2 linked regions of the Alligator mississippiensis genome follow. The main gene of each other region encodes a partner of the protein of the gene in region 2 in a complex. Links are inferred from orthologs where the notes say so. Each region holds a gene or a part of one and is shown on either strand. Other genes may lie near its edges. The genes, in order: ARL6 and BBS7.

Evidence for each region.
Region 1: the proteins of BBS7 (region 2) and ARL6 are in contact, whole or in part, in a cryo-EM structure (PDB 6VBV), measured with the Bos taurus proteins. The link is inferred for Alligator mississippiensis from reciprocal best matches to the Homo sapiens genes BBS7 and ARL6. Residues at the interface, in NP_001178275.2 of Bos taurus: Leu3, Ile249, Val250, Gly251, Asp300, Gly301, Tyr302, Asp303, Thr319, Glu320, Pro321, His323, Lys324, Glu325, Ser326, Gly327, Pro328; in NP_001069250.1 of Bos taurus: Met132, Asp133, Arg135, Thr139, Ser140, Val141, Ser144, Trp157, His158, Ile159, Cys160, Ala161, Asp163, Lys166.

The regions. Positions count from the first base shown.
Region 1 is NC_081824.1:266,179,391-266,189,215, reverse strand, and holds the start of ARL6 (ADP-ribosylation factor-like protein 6), read right to left. Parts: upstream 4,080-9,825; 5' UTR 4,013-4,079; intron 1-4,012. UniProt on the Homo sapiens protein: Involved in membrane protein trafficking at the base of the ciliary organelle. Mediates recruitment onto plasma membrane of the BBSome complex which would constitute a coat complex required for sorting of specific membrane proteins to the primary cilia.
Region 2 is NC_081825.1:114,625,686-114,636,241, reverse strand, and holds the start of BBS7 (Bardet-Biedl syndrome 7 protein), read left to right. Parts: upstream 1-6,776; 5' UTR 6,777-6,844; coding exon 6,845-6,892; intron 6,893-9,653; coding exon 9,654-9,719; intron 9,720-10,429; coding exon 10,430-10,492; intron 10,493-10,556. Other genes in the region: TRPC3 (short transient receptor potential channel 3), read left to right, coding at 2,131-2,206, 4,236-4,378.

The sequences.
Region 1 (9,825 bases), on a different chromosome or scaffold from region 2:
ACTAAGGAACATATGGTGCGTGTACATGTGCAAATAATGCAGGATCAGTTTACTCTAAACCGCCTCTACTTGTGCAGAGATGCGAGAGCAGATTTACTGCTCCTGGCAGCAGTCTGATCTCAGTCCCTGTAGCCCTGCACCAAGCACCTTTCGCCACCAGGAGCTGAAGGCTCTAGCTGCAGCTGCCTGTGGCCAGCAGTTGTCTTCAAAAGGCAACCCCATACCCCCTATCTGGCAACCCCCTATCTGGTCAGCCACTTTTCTGGACAGAAGCAGCATGCGGCAGCTGTCACTGCAGCCTCTGCCTCCCTGCACCAGGGCTGCTTCACCACCCAGCCCTGGAAGGGACATCCAGTGCCCCCTTGCCCTGGCTCACCATGCCGTCCCAGGCCTCCTCACTGCCACACAACTGCCGCCCAGACCCCGTCCTGTCACATGAGTCTTGATGGCGTGGCAGGAAAGCCCCTGCTGCCCCACAACCTCCGTTGCCACCTGGAGGGTTCCCTGTGGCTGTACTACATGTCCCTGTCCCCCAGCAGCCACGGAGCACATTGCCACCAGCATCAACACATTCCTGGGATGTGAGAGGCCCATGCCCACTTAGCTGTGGAGGCACAGGCTGCTCAATAAGGTTTTGCACTGTTTCCTGCCTCCCTGTGTGCTGTTGGGGGAGGGGAACCTGGGGCCAGGGGAGTGCGGCCAGGCCTGGTGGGGAAGCGGGACAGGGCAGGGATGGCCCTCTCCCCATTGTGGGGCTTATGATGTGGATGTGGCAGGCATGCCCGGCAGCCTGGGTCAATCCCTGCTGGCGGTGAGGACATGCAGTTCCTGGCAGCGTCCTAGGGTATAGGGCCATGGCATCTAGCTGCATGGGCAGAGGCCCTCTCCAGGGAGAAGCTAGAGCTGCTGGTGGTGCCATGGTTGCCCTGGCCTTGTGGGCAACCATGGCACCACCATGGGGCTGAGGCCGCGGAGCTGGCAGGGCAAGAGCTGGCCCAGGCTCCCAGAGCTGCTCGACAATGTTGGGGGTGGGGAGTGTCGTGGGATGGCCCCCTGGCAGGTCAGGGGGGCCCTCCCCCAGTGCCAGGTCACCCTGGTGAAGCTGGACTGAGAGGAGGCTTGAGCAAGCCGCCTGTACTGGAACAGGTGGCACAGCTGCGGCCAAGGTCCCAGGGAGTGAGGATCTCATCCAGCTGCCGCATAAAGGGCATGGACTTGTGGACAGCCCCCACCTGGCAGCTGTGGTCAGTGACCGTGACCCACTGTGCCCACAAGACTTAGACCTTTGTGTGACACTGACATGCTAACTGGTTGTGTCCGTGCTCCCAAATGTGACCTGACAGCCCTTTGTAAAGTGTGCATGTTGGATCAACTGCTCCATGCAAACTTGCTGAGGACCTCAGACTTGTCCCGCAGCACCACAAGGTCTGCAGTCTCTTCCTGGGACCAGTTGGGGCCCTAGGAGGTGGCATGAGCCTTTAGGCTTTGGCCAGGGAGGATGCCAGAATGGCTCCCACGATGGCTTGCTGAGCCTCCATGTGCCAGTCCTGGTGCTGCCAGGCCTGGCCATGGGTGTGCAGTGCAGTGCAGGGGCACAGTGTAGGACAGGCTGGTGCATGGGCCAGGCAGTGCCAAGCACCAGGTGCAGGGTCCAGGCAGGCTGCTGTGGGTAACCTGGGGCTAGCTGGAGTGGGACCCAGTGGCCACAAGCTGGCTGCAGGTAGCCCCAGGTGCTCCCAGGCCTTGCAGGTGCCTGCAGCTCCCTGTGCAGCTAGATGGGGTAACCTTGGCAATATGGTGCTAGGGAGTAGCACTGGGGTGTTGGCAGGCTGCTGCAGCTGCCCTGGGGTCTGTCCTGGGGGAAATGGTGGCCAGCAGAGGTCACAGCAAGTGTCCCTGGGTCCCAGTGTCCCTGCAGGCTCTTAAGGGCCTGGGGCTGTGGTAGGAATAGAGCTGACTCAGCCCTGGGGCAGGAGAGGCTTCCAGCCCTAGGGCTAGGCTGAGGCTGGCCTTCTAGTGGTGAGGCTGACCAGGATCAAATTTGTTCCCGGTCAGCATCTACATGTTTGCTACTGCGCAATAAGTAATTGCAAACAAAATTTGCTACTTGTATTTACAGGTAGCAAATGCACTCACAAATAGTGCAAACAATTCTGCAGTAAGCGTCTGCATATGTATACAGTGATGCTTACTGTGCAGTAATTTGTGCTAATCTTGAGTAAAGCATCTCATGTAGATGCGCCCACAGTAAAAGAAGCTTGTTTTGTAGGACCTCACAGCATTTGCTACAGAGTTGGAAGTGCATTAGGTACAGGGCCACTGGATGAGAAAGGGTACTTTCAGGGTCAGATCAAAAGATCGCTACCTCATGCCCGTGGCAGATGTTATATTTACTGTGCGATTAACATGAGAATTGCATGATAAACAGTAACATGCCAGAAGTTCATTTTATCATGTGATAAAAAAGCAGCCTCACCTCAGAGAAGTTATTTGTTGAATGTGGAACTTCTCTGCACTGTTATCATGCATGTTACCTAGAAAGTTAACTTTGCCTTTGCCAGAGAATGTTTAAGTGATGTCAGACAAGTTATTTAACTGTACCTTGTTGCAAAAGGTCACCAACTTCATATTGGAGTTTGGGGCACCAACTTTATTGGCAGAAACAATGAGAACTCACAGCTTCAACTGTAGTTGATGGAACACCTACTTGGACCATAAAACTTGCTACCTAACACTAATTATGTTGCTTTTCCCCACTTGAATTGGCAAATTAACCAGAGATTATTGCAGGCAGATTTCCCCAAATTGATAAGGAAGGAGAATAGCAGACTCAGCTATGACTTCAGTCACTGATGGGCAGGACATCTCAGAGCAGGCGCCCCAAATGGGCATTTAAATGTCTCTGTGCCTCTAGCACCCATGACCAAGATGGTAATAACCATCACCTCCCTGGGTTATCCTGAGGATAAAAATCATTGTGTGTAAGGTGCTCAGATACTGTGAATAGCACAGAACGAAATTTGAGTAGGGCAACATTCAAGGTGCTCCCATTAAAGGGAGAACAAACACAGGCACACAAGATGGGGTGGGGTGAGACAGGGGCTGACTTGAGAGGAGTCAACAGTCGCATGCACAAAATGAAAAAAAGAGAAGGCAACTGTGGGCCATATTAACAGAAGTATGCTAGGCAAGGCAAGGGAATGGCTTGGCCTCCGCTGAAGGACCACATTATAACTTGCAGGCTCTCTGCAGTGGAAGAAGACTGTATAGAAACCGAAGAGGATCCACAAGGATGCAGAAGAGAAAGGATCAAGGGGCTGGAAAGCTGGGTGGGGAGGGGAGGCAGAGAGACCTGGAACTAGCCAGCGTGGGAAGTTTAAAGGAGAGGCTGCTGTGGGGGCACCTGTGGCTGTGCAGGTCTGTAGGCATTTGTGTGGGTCTGTGTCTGTGGGCATGTGTCTGAGGGGGTCTGCGTGGCAATCTGTCTGTGTGCACATCTATGTGTGTGTCTGTGTTTGAGGGCATCTGGGTGGCTCTCTGTGGGTGTCTATGCAGGGGTCTGTGGGGCTGTCTGTAGAAGTCTGTGGGCACATCAGTTCTGTGGGCACCTGTGTGGGTGTCTGTGGACATGTCTATGTGGGTGTTTGGGGCACGCCTATGTCCAGGTGGGCAGCTGTGGGGTCTCTCCGGCTGTCGGCATGGGTCTGTGTGGGGCTGCTTGTGGGCGCCTGGGCCTGCGCCCACGCGGATTTGCGGGCAGCGGCGTGGTTGCCCGCCCCGCGGCTCGGCCCGGGATGGTGAGGGGGGCAGGCCGGGCGAGTGCGAGGGAGCCGCCAGCGCAGCGCAGCGCCCTGGGGCCGAGACTGAGCGCAGGCGGCGGCGGCACCGGGCAGCTTCGCACCCATCCCTCCCCCCGCGGGGGCCGGTAACGGTCAGCAGGGGCCGGCCCACGGGAGAAGGGGAACAAACCCCAGCGCGCGCCCCTCGCCCTCGCCCTCACACTCACACTCACCACACTCGCCGCCGCCGCCTGCGTCGTTACCTAGGAGACTACGCCGCTGCCTTGCCTTAAGCCCCGCCCCTTGACGCGACGCGCTTCTCCCCGTCTCTCGCCTTGCCTGCAAGCCCCGCCCCTTCCTCGAAGCTCGCGGTTACAGGCAGTAGTCCCGCCGTGGTCCCAAGCACCTCTATACTCACAGCTAATCGCCGTTGAGGCGTTGTGTGCCTGTGCTGCAGGAGGGGCGTCTGGGGCTGGAGCTGGACCTGGTGGGAAGCTCTGCTTCTGAAGAAGTCTGTTTGCGCCCAAAAGCTTGCAACGAAGAATTTTTCCAATTATTTTAGTTGGTTCCATAAAAGATACCGGGTTTACCCAAAGAACTTTGTCGGCCTCTAAGGCTAGCAGCACGCCCCTTCCTTTGGTCCTGGGCTCCACCAGCGAGAGGCCAACTCTGTGCTGCCCCACCTGAAGTCCCCACATGAAGTCCGCTTGCTCATGGTGGCTTATTGCAAGCTGCCTGGGTAAAGGACTGTGCCCCACCGCCCTTGTTTTCATGCGAGTCAAATCAGTCCCGGGTTCAACCCCACATCTGTTCTTAGACAAGCATCCAGTGTTAAGCTTGCCAGCGCTATGGGGAGGGAAGTGGTGAGCCACCCAGTGATGCACACCAGCTTGCATAGAGGCAGGGGGAGGGGAGAATTGCATGCTCGGTTTGAGGGGAGCAGGGCAAAAGCTAGACTTTTGGCTGCCCCTGTGCCAGGCCCCAGCTGCCAGAGGTGAGCAGCTTTCAGGTCTATAAATGAGAGCACAGGTGTCCTGGAAGCTCCGTGTTAAGAGGGGGAGTAGCCACAGTGTTCCCTTGTCCCTCCCTGGCTGGTGCTCAGTGTCTGAGGGGAGACTGAACAGACGAATAGCATCTAGGGAAAAACAGTGATATGCTGTGGTAACTCCAGACTAGCCACGGTGGAGAAGAAGACTTAAACCTACAGCATGCAGGCAAAGACAGCCTGTGTGTGTGACACGTGGAAAGTTTCCTTCTTCCAGGATGAGCAACTTAAAAGTACAGCTTTTTTTCCTGGACGTTGTACAAATACCACTGAGTTTCCACATCTAAGGTGTTGTTGGTTGTAGCCGTGTTGGCTTAAGAATGGAGGCAGACAAGGTGCTTTGCGTAGATGGGATATCTTTTATTAGACCAACTAAATAGTTGGAAAAATTCTTTAGAAACGATGATTAGTGGTATGGGGGGGAGGGCTTCCATATGAGTAGAGACTAAAGAGGCTAGGACTGTTCAGTTTAGGAAAGAGACATTTGAGTGGGCACATGATAAGCATTTACAAAATACTAAATGCCAAAGAGAAAGTAAATAGGGATTTATTATTTGCTCTCTCTCACAATACAAGAACTAGGGGTCATAAAATGAAACTAGTAGCTAGGGGCATGTTAACATGAGACGTTCACTGTGCAGTTGACTGATTAAATGCTCCGTAAAGATCTCAGAGCCTCTCTGTGTGCCCCTATTACGGCACACAAAGCAAATTAACAGGTTAGGACTTGTAACCTGCTGCAGAGTCTTTCCATGTGCAGCAGCTCACATGTAGACACTGTCCCGGTTTGCTGGGATACAAGGGTGCTTTGGTGTGGGGCTAGCCAGCGGGCAGCCCCTGCACTGAAGCACCCTCATGACTCGGTGAGCCCCTCCACAGCACATGGATCCCCATTGGAGCAGCCAGCCCTGGGCTGCCTGCCAGCTAGCCCCACAGTGAAGCACCTTCATGCCTCAGCCAGCTGCTCTGCAGCACATGGAGGCCTGTTGGACCAGTCCTTGGCTGGCACTCTGACCCCCTGGGTTCCCTGCCAGCCTGGGTTGCTCCAACTGGGTTCTATGTGCTACACATGAATAAACTCTGGAGAAACATATTCTGGATTTTTTTGCTCCCAGGTACAGATTCAAACAGTGTACCTGGGAGCAAAAAACTCTGGACCAATAAGCTCTGGGGTTTCTTTGTGTTCATTAGTCGCATGTGTAGATGTGTCTAGTAAATTTAAAACTAACAGAGGAAAGCTGTTTTTTACACAGGATGTAATTAAAGTGTAGAACTCATTGCCATCAGAAGTTGTGGAAGCTGACAGTTTAGCCAGATTCAAAAAGGGATTGGACAAATTCTTGGAGGAAAGGGGCATTAGTAGCTACTGAGCATGGGGGTTAGGGGTGCAGCCTGTGAATCAGAACTTCCTAGACCTTAAATGCTGGAGGTTGCAACTGAGAGTGGAACAGTGGAAAAAACCTTGGACATATCTAGTTCACTCTCCCTTTCAGCATCCACTCCCTACCACAGTGTGACACAGGATACCGGACAAGATGGACATATTGTCTGACCTAGTATATGGCAGTTCTTACATTTTATGTGAAGCCCACAGACCTTTGGGGTTCTTTTAATTTTCTTTTCTGTTAGGTTTTCAGAGTTATTCGTTTGGGGGGGTGTCACATATTCATGCTCCCGTCTGCAACTGGGAGGGCCAATCGCTGTGTTTTAATGGAAGTTGATATTCACCCATAATGACTTCATTTAGGAAGCTGAGGTATTAAAAAAGGAACCATCATGATGAGCCTCGTGAAAAGATCACAGGAGCTGGTAACAACGTAAAACCTAATCAGCATATGGGCTAAGTTTAAGTGCAAGAGAAATTTTCCTGGTTTCCAGATTAAAGTTAGTCTGCATCTATATTTCCGTACACACAGAAGAAAAAAAATGGGACCAAAGGCCTCACTGCAATCAGAACTTCTAAGGCAAAGCTCACTTTGTTCATTCTGCTTCATGGGTCAAATCCTACAGCCCTTATTCTAGGAATTTTCCTGGTTTAGGACTGCCAGTTTAGCTGTAGAAACCCAGCATCCCATTCCTTAGTTACATCACTACATTTTATACTGCATATACAAGAAGTTCTTACTTTTACCTTTCAAGTTTTTGGAGACAGGGACTGAGTATTTTGTTTGCATTTTACCAGTTATAAAGCAGTGTGTATAGCTGTGGCATTTTCTGAATAATAAGGCAATAACTATATTCAAGTTATATTTGTTAGTGATTAATCCTGCTGCCATTGTGCTGCTGGAAAGTCATGTCTGTCCTGCTATTTGAGTGAAGGGGGGTCACGAATAGCATTTGTTAGTGTAAACCTGTTCTCAAAGACCTAGGTTATGTAGGCTCACCAATATTATAGAGCAGGGCTGTTCAATCAGCAGCCCCCATTAGGTTAAGATGCAGCCCCTGGTTTCTGCCTGGCTGCTGCCCCTCCTTCCCACTGCTGTTGCAGCCAGTCTCCAGTCTCCCTCTCCTCCCTCCAGCTTCTGTTGACTACCCCTGCCCCAAGAGACACGGCAGTGAGCTGAGGGTGAGCCTGGAGCTGCAGGCACAGTTAGTTTACTATACATCTGGGTTTTCCTCTTTTTGGGTCCTCCCATCTCTGTCCAGGCAGTTTTTTTTAATTTAAAAAAATGTCTGGGATTTTGCTCTGCTCAGCTTCATAGTTTCTCCTGGCACTTCCTAGCTTGACCTAGCAAAGAGCTGTTTGGGGCTGGGGGGAGCAGTGGGTGTCATGTGCATCTGTATGCACACATGCATGCAGTCTGCATGCAGCCAGGCAAGGTGGTGGGAGAAGCCCTGGCATCTGCATGCAGGTAGGTTTATGGGGTCAGGGTTGGAGGGCCAGGGCTTGGGGATTGTCCAGAGGACTGTGTGTATATGTGTGCATGTGTGTGTATGTGCATGCATACGACAGGGTATGTGGAGGGGGTAGGTGTGTGAGGGGAGGCAGGAGGCGGGTGCCTGCCAACACTGGGGGAAGCTGTCTGGGTGTTGGGACTGCAGCAGGGCTTGGGGGATGTGCCTGCCCCATTAGTGGGGAAAACTGGGCGAGGACCCCTTGGGGCCATCAGGAAGCTGTGTTGCCAGGTTGGTGGCACCAGGGCTGGTGCCCTTGTTTGCAGGGCCAGGGCAGCTAGGAGATGCTTCAGGGCTGGGGAGAGCAGGGGGATGCAGGTTGGGAGTGATAGACACCAGCAGGGCTGGAGAGGCTGTGGCTTGGGAGTGAGGGGTAGGGGCAGGGGCATATCATTGCCCCCCACAATCATATTATACCCCCTCCCCCCACAGGTGTCCCTTTTTTTTGAAACTGGAAATATGGTAACTGTAGGCACACAGTGTAACAGGGGCGGAGGGGGCGGGGAGCATACATGGTGCAGTCAGTGTGGGAAGAGGCCCCATGCAGTGTGTGGCCTGGGGTTCACCCTAGCATGGCCATGGGTGTGTGGCCTGCACAGCCAATGGCCCCAGGCTACATAGAAAATGGACAGCCCTGTTACAGAGCTTTAATAGCATACTGAAAAAGTATTCCAATGAAGATAAGTAGTGTTTCTTATGCAGGAGATTGTATGTTATGGAAATAGAGCCTACTGATTGCTGCAGTTTGAGCATCATTATTGTATGCATAGTTCTCTAATAACATTATCAACAATATGCGTACTTTGTAAAGACATTTATCTGAGCACAAAATTTATATGGAAAGGTATACAAGAGTCCACTCTAGTAATGCATCTCCTGCTATAAGGAAAAAGAAACCCCCCACCCTGAAGTATCTCAAAACATGGAATGCAGTGCTGATCCATCTTTATTAGAACACCTTAATATGTTAGGCAACTGTGTTTTTTCCCCCTCAGGGTCATGTATGACAGGCTGCGCTGCATAGCATATGCATAAATTAAGGTACAATAAAAAGCATCAACTCAAACATAACCACCAGTACTGTAACTTTTATTTGCTAATAAATATCTTAATAAACAGGCTTACCGCATCTGTAAGCCCTGATAATGCCTCTTAGGAAATCATAGAAAAATAAAATACAATAATAATCAGTAACTTGTACTTTGTACAAAAATCTTATTATGTTGCTCAGCAGGTAGCTTTGCCAAACCCCATATTCTTTCCACAAATAGATGGCATATGTAATGCAATTCATCTTAAAAACCCCCTAGTTTTGAGAGCTGAGCGTTCTATTACACTATCAACTTGTAGGCATGCCAGCACATGGAAATTTACATGGAACATCATATTATCATCATAATAGATTTTTTTTTCAAAAAAGGGAAATAATACCACCTTCAAGTAAATGTGAACAACTTCACTTCTAATGTAAAGTAGGTAGGTTCCTACATTCCCCTTGGGATTGCACCTTGCAAACTTAAACTTTTTATTTCACAATTATTCCTCTTGCATGATTTTAAGTTGACCAAAAGAGAGAAAACAAAATGCATTTGGAACATATATGGGAGGCAGATAGCACGAAGAAAGCTTGTTTTAAATTGTGAGGCATTCCCAAGAGGAAAACACCTATGCCAGTTGTAAAATGTTCAGTTTCTCAGAAACAGTAGATCTTACTTTCTGTTTATAGTACCGTGCACAACATTGTTCAGTGTTTAGAATCAATGGTACAGTACCCAGGAACCCTTTTGTATGGAATGAAGGTGAAGATTTTAGATACAGGTAGTTGTCAATAGTTGAATATATCTCTGTAAGAGGAAAGGAAGCAATGGCAAAATACAAGTGTTAATTGTAACACTAAATACAAGTGTAAGTGCTGAGGCCACTGTTTACTTGTAAAATATTTTGCAAATCAGATTATACTGCAACTTTAGAAGCCATCTACCTTTAAAGATTTGACTTGGCTGTTTAAATAGCCTAAAGTGTCTGTCATCAAATATATATTTATATATACACATACATTGATACATTTTATGGCTATGCTAGAATAGCAAACTATGAATAGCAGTC
Region 2 (10,556 bases):
GACTGTAAATCTAAGGGATGGTGCATTACAATTTTAAGTGAGATAAAACCATTTTTAATGATATATTATCTGACTTATTTGGATATAACTATTTTGTAAAAAGTTGTGTCTTGTACATACATTGAGCTAAAGAAACAAATCCTATAGGAAGATCCCAACACAATATAAATTCAGGCTCACCACCATCAACCACAGGGATCGACTCGTTTGTTTTAAGCAGTGGTCCTCATACATTAAATCCAAGAATATAGTTAAAATAAAGCAGTTCAACAGACTTTTCCCCAAATACAACTATTTTTGTTACTTTTGATTCATCTGACCTTCATGTTGACTTTTGGCTATTTTTTTTCTCTTGAAAAAAATTGCTTAGGGTAGGTTAGTGGCTATCAGAGTTCAATACTTTGTGGGATGCCTGATTCCAGTTCAGCCTCAGGATGCTTACTCCTTGGGCTGAATGTGCTGAAGTGAAGCTCTCATCCTTTGGGCAATGGTACATATTTAGGGGCAAAACCTGCTCCCATAATTAGTTGCAGAAGTCTTCATACACTGTAAAATATCATATTTCTGTTGCAGTGGGGAGCTGCCTGCCTATAGAAAGTTTGTAAGCACATCATCCATAAGACAGCATCAATACATGTGTATGTGATTATTTCATGTCCATCTTATGGATAAGCCAGTGCCCAGTAGATGGCACAAAGTAGTTTTTCACAGCAGTTTCAAGAGGGATGGAATAACGTAACTCGTAACTGGGGGAAGTGAAGGCAATGGCTGCAGAGCAGCAGCAGTGTTCTGTGCTCTGGGATTGGTGGTGTCCATTCCTGCTGACTTTGTACAAGGCATGCTACTTATTAGGCTCTGCACACAGGTCCATAATTAAAATATTAAGCAATAACAATAAGTACCAGGTGTTAATTACTGGCTGGAAGGAGCTGATGATAACAACCCCATCTAGCCATTAATCCCTGGGAAATGACCTGTGCGTAGGACATTATTGCTAAATCCTGCAGTTCTTTTCAAGCAACACTTGGCTCTTTTACCAAGTGCAGCTGATTGACCTATAAGGTGAAATAACTATATAAGCTTGTGTGGATATTGGGCAATATATTTTTCAGATAATTTTACAGGTATTATCTACAGCTAGTTCAAATTTATGAATCACCTCTCAACAGCCTATTCAGCATATAATGCATTTTGTCGTCTGATCAGTAAAGAGCAGCTTTACAGCCCTGAGGAAGGTTGCAAGTCCTCTAAATTGCAGGTTATGTGCAGTGACACAGTTATTGTGGCACAAAGTGGTAGTACGAGACCTTAATAAGTAAAGGATGGGGAAGGCAACTCATAAGGAATGTGTGAATGGAAAGGCTAGTTATGACTGCCAACATACAGAGTATGTGCTGTAGATAAGTTGAACAAGAGGTTAGTACCTTGTTTGCAATTTAATGGAAAATATTTTTATTTTGGAAGACTTGGGCATTTTGTGGTAAAAAAGCAATATTACCCTCTTTGCAAATTTTGCAAAATTTTAAGTGTTTTCCATTTTAAAAAATCAACACATTTTCAAATAAATATGGCTTTCCAGAAAAATCACAAGAACATTGGAAGTGTTACATGATTTAGGTATGAAAAATTTTTGTTGCATCTTTGAAACTGTTTGAAGCAACAATTTCCTGAAAATGTTTTCATAAGTTCTGCACATCTCCCATTAAGATGCTTCTTGGGCTGAGCTATAGATGAGAGGTAAGTGGATGAGGAAGGAATTATGCTGCATTAGTTTGTCTCAGAGGTGCAACTGGCTGCTTGAGCCCCCTGGGCAGTAGCCAGGCATGGGGCAGTGTCAGTGACTGCACTGCCGGGGATGTGACAGTGGCAGCAGTAGTGGAAGAGGCTGGACTGGCAGTGTAGCTCCACTCTTTTTGTACCTCTCCCTTCCCCCACCTAGGGTTGGCAGTGTACCTGGGCCTGGTGCCCTTCCCCTCCTCCCCCAACACTTCATTATACTACTGCTTGTCCCACCAAAAGCAAAGATAGTGTTGACCTCTTGGCTTTTACAGGCTTGCTGAAGAATTTTAGTGAATAGGATGAAGTTTGTCTAAATGCTTAACTGATTATATAATGATTTTTATCCAACAGCAAATCATGAAAAGACTTATAAAACGTTATGTTTTGAAAGCACAAGTGGACAAAGAAAATGATGAAGTAAATGAAGGTGAGAGACATTGTAAACAACACTTTCTGATACTGTTATGGAGAACCATACTATTATTTATTTTACTAGGTGCACTTAGCACAAATATGAAGTGAGAGATAGTATTTGCTACACAGCATATATAGTGTCAGTGGACAAGATGGATAAAGATGGGAAGAAAGGAAGTATTATTGTCCCCATTGGGACAATACGGGAACTGAAAAGGTTAAGTAATTTGCCCAAAGTCATGCAGGAAGTCTGTGATGGAGCAAAGAAATGGACTCAGCTCTTTTGGTCTAATACTTCAGCCATAAGACCACCTTTTCTCTCCATTTCATCTCAGCTGAACAGGTGGTATTGTATCATGTGTATGATTTGTTTCCTCTCCTCCATAAAACCATGCTGAAATCACATTCAGCTCTAAAGTTCCATGTCTCTGATAGAACGACGTCAAACTAGCTATGTGGTATGCTGAGAAGAGAGAAGCTGTGGTCACAGTTCATCTGTAGTCCAGAGTTCTCTGCAAAATGATCAGACAGATCTTTAAGTATCTTAAATCTTAAACAATTGAAGAGCTGCTCTCCTATTAGGCTTGAAAATAAATTGCTACTATATACCATCTATAATATTTTTTAATCGACAGGAATTTCAGTATGTTTGAGAACCAGTAAAATACTGATGAAGGATAAAGATAAAATATTTGAAAACATTTAAGCCCCAAATTCTAGCAGTAATTAAACAGACAACTCTTGGTGTGTCCTGTCATTGAACTAATAAGTCCCACAGGTGCTGACCGGCTAGAAGTTGCAAAGAGTTGTACAAAAATAACAAACACAGTGTATAGTTCAAGTGGGCATTTTTAACCAGATGCCTATATGTCAGTAGTTGTATCAAGAAAACTAAAGGTATAATCTCATTTTGGTATTTTTTGGAATTTGGTATGTACATACAGACATATCTTCTGCAAAGCAGGAGAGATGTGACAAAAGGATAGTGCTTTGTCACCAAAATTCTTGAGAAAGCACAAATCTTCTGGAACGATTTGCTTGATCATGTATCTGCCTATGGAGTTTAGATCAAGTATTCAGAACCCTGAACCAAGTCAGGAGACCTACTTGTGGTCTCAGCTTTTTCACTGATTCTCCTTGAGTGACCCTGGGCAACTTGTCTGAGCTAAAACTTCCAATTCTTCAGATATAATATAGAGATAATATACATTGTGCCATATTTACCTCATATATTGTGAAGTTTAATTCTGGGTTTTGAAGCATGTGAGATGTAAAGCACTGAGTATGTTATGAATAGAAAACCATCTATAATTGCTAAGTATTATGATTCTTGCAAGTATAGGAATCTGGGGAGTCCACTTAATTTTAAAGTAAACCATATAACAGAACAGCATAGGTCTTATTTTATACCCTACACAACACACATCAAACAGTTTCCTGTTGGGTAGCACATAAGAATGATCAGAATTCATGGCTGGGAGAAGAATGAACCCAAGAAAGATTCCATCCTTGAACTGAGTGCTCTTCAATAAATGAGTGTTGTTGTTGATGATTAATCTAGACACTTTTTGATCATGAAGGTTTCAATTGAAGTGCTGTGTCAGTACTTTGGCAAATTGTAGCAACAATTTAAAAATACTGAATTTTTCTGTTTCTAAGGATGTGTGTGTTATTGAAGAGGACAGTCTCAAGAGATGTGAGTTGCAAGTGTGGCCAGCTCTGCCACACTTTTTCTGTGAGACCTTAGCAAGTCATGCCTTGCTGCTTCTTTCTAAAATGGGGATACTAATACTTACCAGCCTCTCAGCAGTGTTGCTATGATTATTCGTTAACATTTGCAAAACACTTTGAGACGCTAACATGCTCTTTGTACGTACAAAGTACAGTGTCACTATGTTTCACTGAATTATTGAAATTCCAGTGTACTTACGGGCGTCTGGGTAAAAATAGTTCTGAAACATGCATTGCTTTGACAACAAAATTTCATGTAGTGAGTGTTTGATAAACAATGCTTAAAATATTCCCTTCATTAATTGATATAGGTGAACTAAAGGAAATCAAACAAGATATCTCCAGTCTTCGCTATGAACTTTTGGAGGACAAGTCCCAAGCAACAGAAGAACTTGCAATCCTAATACATAAACTCAGTGAGAAACTAAACCCCAATATGTTGAGATGTGAATGATTCTAGAAATGATCCTTGGCTTCAACTACAGCACAACTGTTTATTGGCAATAATATTTCTGAGTATCTTATACTTGAAAAATATATTGTAGATTTTTAGCACTAAATAACTTTATGTAGAGCTTCTTTGAAATTTAACCTTAGGAAATTTTATTAATTTACCACACAAAAATACTCTGTTCATTTTAAATGTACTGAAATGTAAGAACTCTCATGACATTGTTTGCATTTATTCAGCAGGAGAGTACAAATGTATCTGAAGAATTATTTCATTGCTGTATTTCAACAGTTTTATGAACAAACTTTGAAAATTATTTGCACTTTACAATTTGCAAAAACAAAACAAAGAAACATAAATAAAATCTACAGAATGCACTGCATAGTACGCTATTCCCTGAAACAACTGGTATGAGCAAGATATACTATACAAGGAATAACCAGGTGGGCCATGGTAAAGGATTGCTCAAATGTCTTTTATCAATGCTAAGAGTTATAGTTGAAGAATAGGCACTTGAAAGTTTAAAAATAGATATCAAAGTCTGAATATAATTTTAACAACACTGTTTAACATACAAATACTGTAGTTTGTTTCATAATATGGCAGACTGTTTGCTTTCAATGCTGGGGCCTAGAGATCCTTTTTTTAAACAAAGCAACTTTTGAATGTAATGTGAACTGTCAAAAGCTACACTTTCATGTGGTAGAGATGATTTTTTTAAATTCAGATTCTATGCAGAGCTGGTATTTTGTTACACTGTTCTAAATGATGCCTCTGATGCTTACTTGTTAAATAAAAAAATTCATATTTAAATGACTCCTTACCTGGTCCCAATAGTCCAGAACCAGATTTTGGACTGCATGGTAAAACTGTACAGCAGTCAAATATAGGCAGCACTTGTGGTGTCTACAATTAAGGTTACCTGATGTTTCCTATTATAGGACTATTTTTATCAATGAACTTTGCCAGACTTGAACTGCTCGATATTTCCACGCAAGCCAGACATTTTATAATATAAAATTATAATAGATAATAGTTATTTTTGCCTAATGGAAACTTACATATACACACACGTGATGCTGGGCAGATATTTATATATTATTTAAGTATATTATGATATTATTATTAATTAAATAATACTATATACATAGATACATACAAAAAGTTCCTACATGATGCTGGGTAAATTTTTTTTTTTTTATTTTATTTTTTTTTACATGTGTTCCTCATCTTCAGTGGGAGTGGATAACATTAAATGTCTTGGATCTGATTTTCAGAAATGCTGAACATACAATGAAAGCCCTGTTCTGAACACATAAGCCACTGAAAAAATACCTGAAAAATACCAAGGCCCCTCAAACCTAGCATTCAAACTTCATGGGCCCGTTTCACAAGATTCTTGCTAGGCCTTTCATCCCCACCCACAAAAAAGATTCAATACTGCCTCACAGAGGCCATGAGAAGCTAAGAGAATGATTGGGAGAAACCTCAAGACACTATAATGATGACGAGCTCCGTATGAAACCCCCCAGATGGAACTTAATAAGGCAGCAATCCTGGGCACGGATGAGGTTTACTACAGTAAATAAAATGTGGCACCATGGAAATTAAATTAAATCCTGAATTAGCTGCTTACACCGTGCAGTGAATGAGGTGGTGGAGAGGGGCGGGGGGTGCTAAGCTGAGGTTCTCATGCAAACTCATCAGGGAGCGTATTAAAGATGCATTTCCCGACTCGCCCTTGACTTTGCAACCTCCCTTTGCAGCACTGTCTCCATGCAGCGCAGCACGTGGCTGCGGGCCCTCCGCTGTGGGCACAGGTCTCAAGTCACAAAGCCCGCCCTTCCTCTCTCGTTTCTTTCTTTCTTTCTTTCTTTCTTTCTTTCTTTCTTTCTTTCTTTCTTTCCTTCCCTCCCTTTCTTTCTAACCCAGCAGTTTCACCGATGTCAACAGTCACAACGCCCTTTCCTTTTCTCTGTCCGTCTGCCTAACCCGGTGGCTCTCGACCTTGCCAGGCTCCGGGAACCCTTGCGAGATTCAGGGCGCCGCTCAGAAGACGCAGCTCCGAGCTGCCCCCGGCTGGTGGAGAAGAGAAACACCCGGTAGCAGCAGCCCGGCCCCGGCCCCGCCGCACGCACACGCCCCGCGCGGTTCCTCGCGGGGAATCAAGTGACAGGCCGCCCAGCTGGGAAAACCCACAGCACTCCATACAGCGGGCGTGACGCTTTAACCAATCCCACAGCACGTTTCATACTTGCCCCCTCGCCCTGCCCAATGCAAGGCACGTTTGGAGCGATGCTTTATCCAATCCCGCAGCACGTTGCATGCCCGCCCCCCCCTCTCCCTGCCCAATCCGAGGCCGGTTTAAGGTCCCCTCCCCGTCTTTCGTCGTGTTTCCATGGTAACTAGCGCCACCACCTCCGGGCCTGAGCTGAGGGGCCCGGGGAAGCCTCCGCCGCCGCCGTCGCCATGGAGCTGGGCCTGGCCCTGGCTCTGGCCCGCGTGGATTACGTGCAGGTGACCCACGAAACCAGCCCCCGCCCCGCGCTGCCCGGCGGGGCAGAGCTCTTCGCTGCTGCGTCCGGCGCGGGTTGGAGGGTTTTTGACTGGGCGATGCCAGCGCTCTTGCTGGGGCCCAGGCTGGAGGGTCCTGGCTACAGGGTCGGGCTCCTCTGCTGAGGTCCGACTGACAGGCTGCCAGATTTGTGGCCAGGGAGGAGTTTGAATGCCATGGCCGGATCGGTTCGGGCTGTGGGGGGTTTTGCCTCCCTCCGTAGCTGGGGCCCGGGCGGGATCTCCTGAGCCTACGTTGACAGTGTTTCGTAGGAGCAGGCGTTTGGCTGCTGTGGCACCTCGGCTCTGGCAGGGTGTTGGGGCTGCGTGGTGTTGGCAGGGTTTCCTGTAGGCTTGTGCAGAGTTTAGATCGTGGTTTATTAGGGGATGGGTTGGAGAGGGATGGTCCTTCCTTAGGCAGGGGAAGGAGGTCTCTTCCAGCCCGACTTCTCCCGGACACCATGATTTGATTTTTCTTATGCTGCCACTTGCTTTATAGGATCAGCAGTCAACTTGGCAGCAGTGATAGCATCATTAACCACCCCTTGCCTGCTCACAGCTTCTCCTTCCCCATCCAGAATAGCAGAAGTTGGAGTTACAGTCCCTGGAGGGACCTTGTTCAGTTTGTACTTGCTGGATCTATTGTTTTAGGCCGTCTGCATCGTCATAGGATTATTGCAAAGTAGGATCTGGAAGGGGGCTGTGGACCAGCAGGGTTGGGGTGGGCTGTGGCTTGGGAGTGAGGAGCAACAGCATGGACAAGGGCAGGGCACTGGCATATCAGCCCTTTGTGCTGCTGCTGGGCATGGGGGTGAGCCCCATGAGGTGCAGCAACACTTGAGCTTGCAGCTGGGCGGGGTGGGTAGTGCAGTGGGACTCTTCCTCTTTGCTTGGCACTGGGGAGGCTGTGCCTGGAGTCCGGTGTCCAGTTTTGGGCCCCTGCTACAGAAAGGATGTGGTCAAGCTGGGCAATGAAAATGGTTCTGAGCCTGGAACACATGACTTGTGAAGAGAGACTGAGGGAACTGGCATTATTTAGTCTGGAGAAGAGAAGACTGAGAGGGGCCTTAATAGCAGCTTTCAACTGCCTGAAGTGGGGTTTGAAAGAGGATGGAGCTAGACTGTTCTCAATGGTGGCAGATCACAGAACAAGGAGCAGCGGTCTCGAGTTGCAGCAAGGGACGTTTAGGTTAGATATTAGGAAGAACTTTCTCACTAGGAGGGTAGTAAAACACTAGAACAGGGCTGGGATGGCTGAGAGTCAGGAGTGAGGGGCACTGGCAGGGCCAGGAAGCTATGGGCTGGGAGTGAGAGGCAACAGTTTGGTCAGGGCACTGGCATATCAGGGTTGCTCAGCACCACAAATTTGCAGGAGTTACAGATACAACTGAACCTGTGTCCTGGTGAGCAAAGGGGGCAGGCAGAGCTCTGATTTTCAATGGTACAAAAACCAAAATCGAACACCAAAATAAATGGGTACTTGTAATTTATTTTATTATAACGATTGAGGCACTGTTAGGCTTCTAAATTGCTTTAAAATTGTAACTATATCAATAAAACACTGTGTTCAACTGATATGTGTATATAGATATATAGATAAAAATGAAATGCCACTTTTATATATATAAATGCCATATATATATGAAACATCACTTTTATTTATAGATATAGGTATAAGTGGCGTTTCATTTTATCTCAGAAAAAATGTGGATTTTCATTTTTTAATCAGAGAATTTGTTTTTGGTTTTTAAATTGGAGAATTTGTGATTTTTAAACAGAGAAAACCAGGATCGCAGCTCATTAATAACCATCTTTTAATGATTTGATTCTTTCAAGTATTAAATCTGTTTATGCTTGTTTATTTATCAACTTCAAAAAGTTGTCAATGGGACAGGAATTCACATGTCTAAGGCTGCTTGAAGATGTTTAAAAAATAAAAAAGTGGCATTTTACTTTAAACTTGGCATGCTCCTGCACTGAGCCCAGCATGTGCCGGGAAGAGAGAGTGCGTTAGCTGGACCTGGCTCACCCAACCTCTGTATAGGTTGTGTACACTTTAGTGGGGCTTTTGGGCATTTTTATCTAGTAGTTGATTGAATCAGTTTTAGCTAAAAGTGCCAAAAACACCCAATCTATAACAACACTGCAGAGCCAGGTTAGAGTAACGTGCTGCTGCTTCTGGTAAAGTGTGCTTTTGTTTTGTTTTTTTAAGGTCTGGAAGCAGACTAAAACAGTTGCCAAAACTGGTAATTAGATTTGTTCAGCAAATGCAAAGCAATGCAGCTTTCAAGTAGTTGACCAGTCTACTATGACAAGTCTTTCTGTATCAGAATTATGGCACATCTTTTCTGTTGTGCAAGCAGTCTTGAATTTGTGGATAAATGTGTGTGCCACATATCTGGAAATAGTCTCCAGAGCTGTTAAAAAGGCTGGTACTTTTACAAACACCAATACATGAAAAATGTAGAATAAAAAGGATGGAGAAAGTACAGAGGTTAAAGGTGTACAGTGTTTAAAGGTGACATTTAAATATATCTGTGAGTTCTATGTCGTAGAATATTAGGGTTCAGCGTTCAGGTAGTCCCAGCTCACCTGTTGTATAACTCTGGTTAAATAGAATATTCTCCACAATGTATATAACAAGAAAATGTTATCCCTAAGACTTTTTTTTTTGAAGTGTAGAAATTGGAATGTTTTCCATAATGTGGTGATTTTTTTCAAATAGGTGGGAGTGACATCTCAGAAGACAATGAGGCTCCTGCCAGCATCAGGACGTAGGGCAACACAGAAGGTAGTGATTTTCTAGAAGTGAAGAGTTTGTTGTTTCTAAATTGTTCGTTTTGTTTTTTCTTACAGATTAATGTTATCAATGCAGTACAGATTATCTTTTGACCTCTACTTGGGAAATTGAACACATTTTCTCCCAGTTCATGCTGTTTAAAGATTTGCTGATACCCTTGTTTGTTTGGTGGGCTTTTTGGGCTGTTGTTTGTTTGATGTTATTAGCTAAGAACCATTATGGAACATGAGAGCTTTTAACAAAATGTTCTTGTAACTACAGGTTTATGATTTCTTTGTGGAAAGAGAATATTGGAACAGGCAAACTCTGGAGAAGCAATGATGTATTTTCTTTCGTAAATTTTTGGTAACAAAGAAATAATACCGTCAAACACAGGAAAACCTTTTTTTTCCCCCAAAATGCTTTTGAACGTTTCTGTTGAGTGATAGCTGGACTTCAATCAACAATTTTGAAAAAAAAATATTATTAACTTATGGTAGTAAAATAATTGTTAAATATTAGATTCCTGAATTATAGGACTGTATTAGTCTTTATAAAGTGCCCTGTCATGCCTTATTAACATCACTTAGTGTGGTGTTTGGTAATGGTTACTTTCTGTGCTACAGATCCACATAACTAATATAAAGAAAATTCTTCCTTTTAAAAATATCTATAGGAGGAATGCAAAAATAATTAAGCTACTTACACGTTATATTTTTAAGGTTGTTATTGGAGATCATGATGGCGTAATTACATGTTTTGGCATCAAAAAAGGAGAAGCTATGGTAAGTTCAGCTATTTATGTAGTTAATGTGATTGTTTGTGGTATGTAGGTTTTTTTTAATCCAT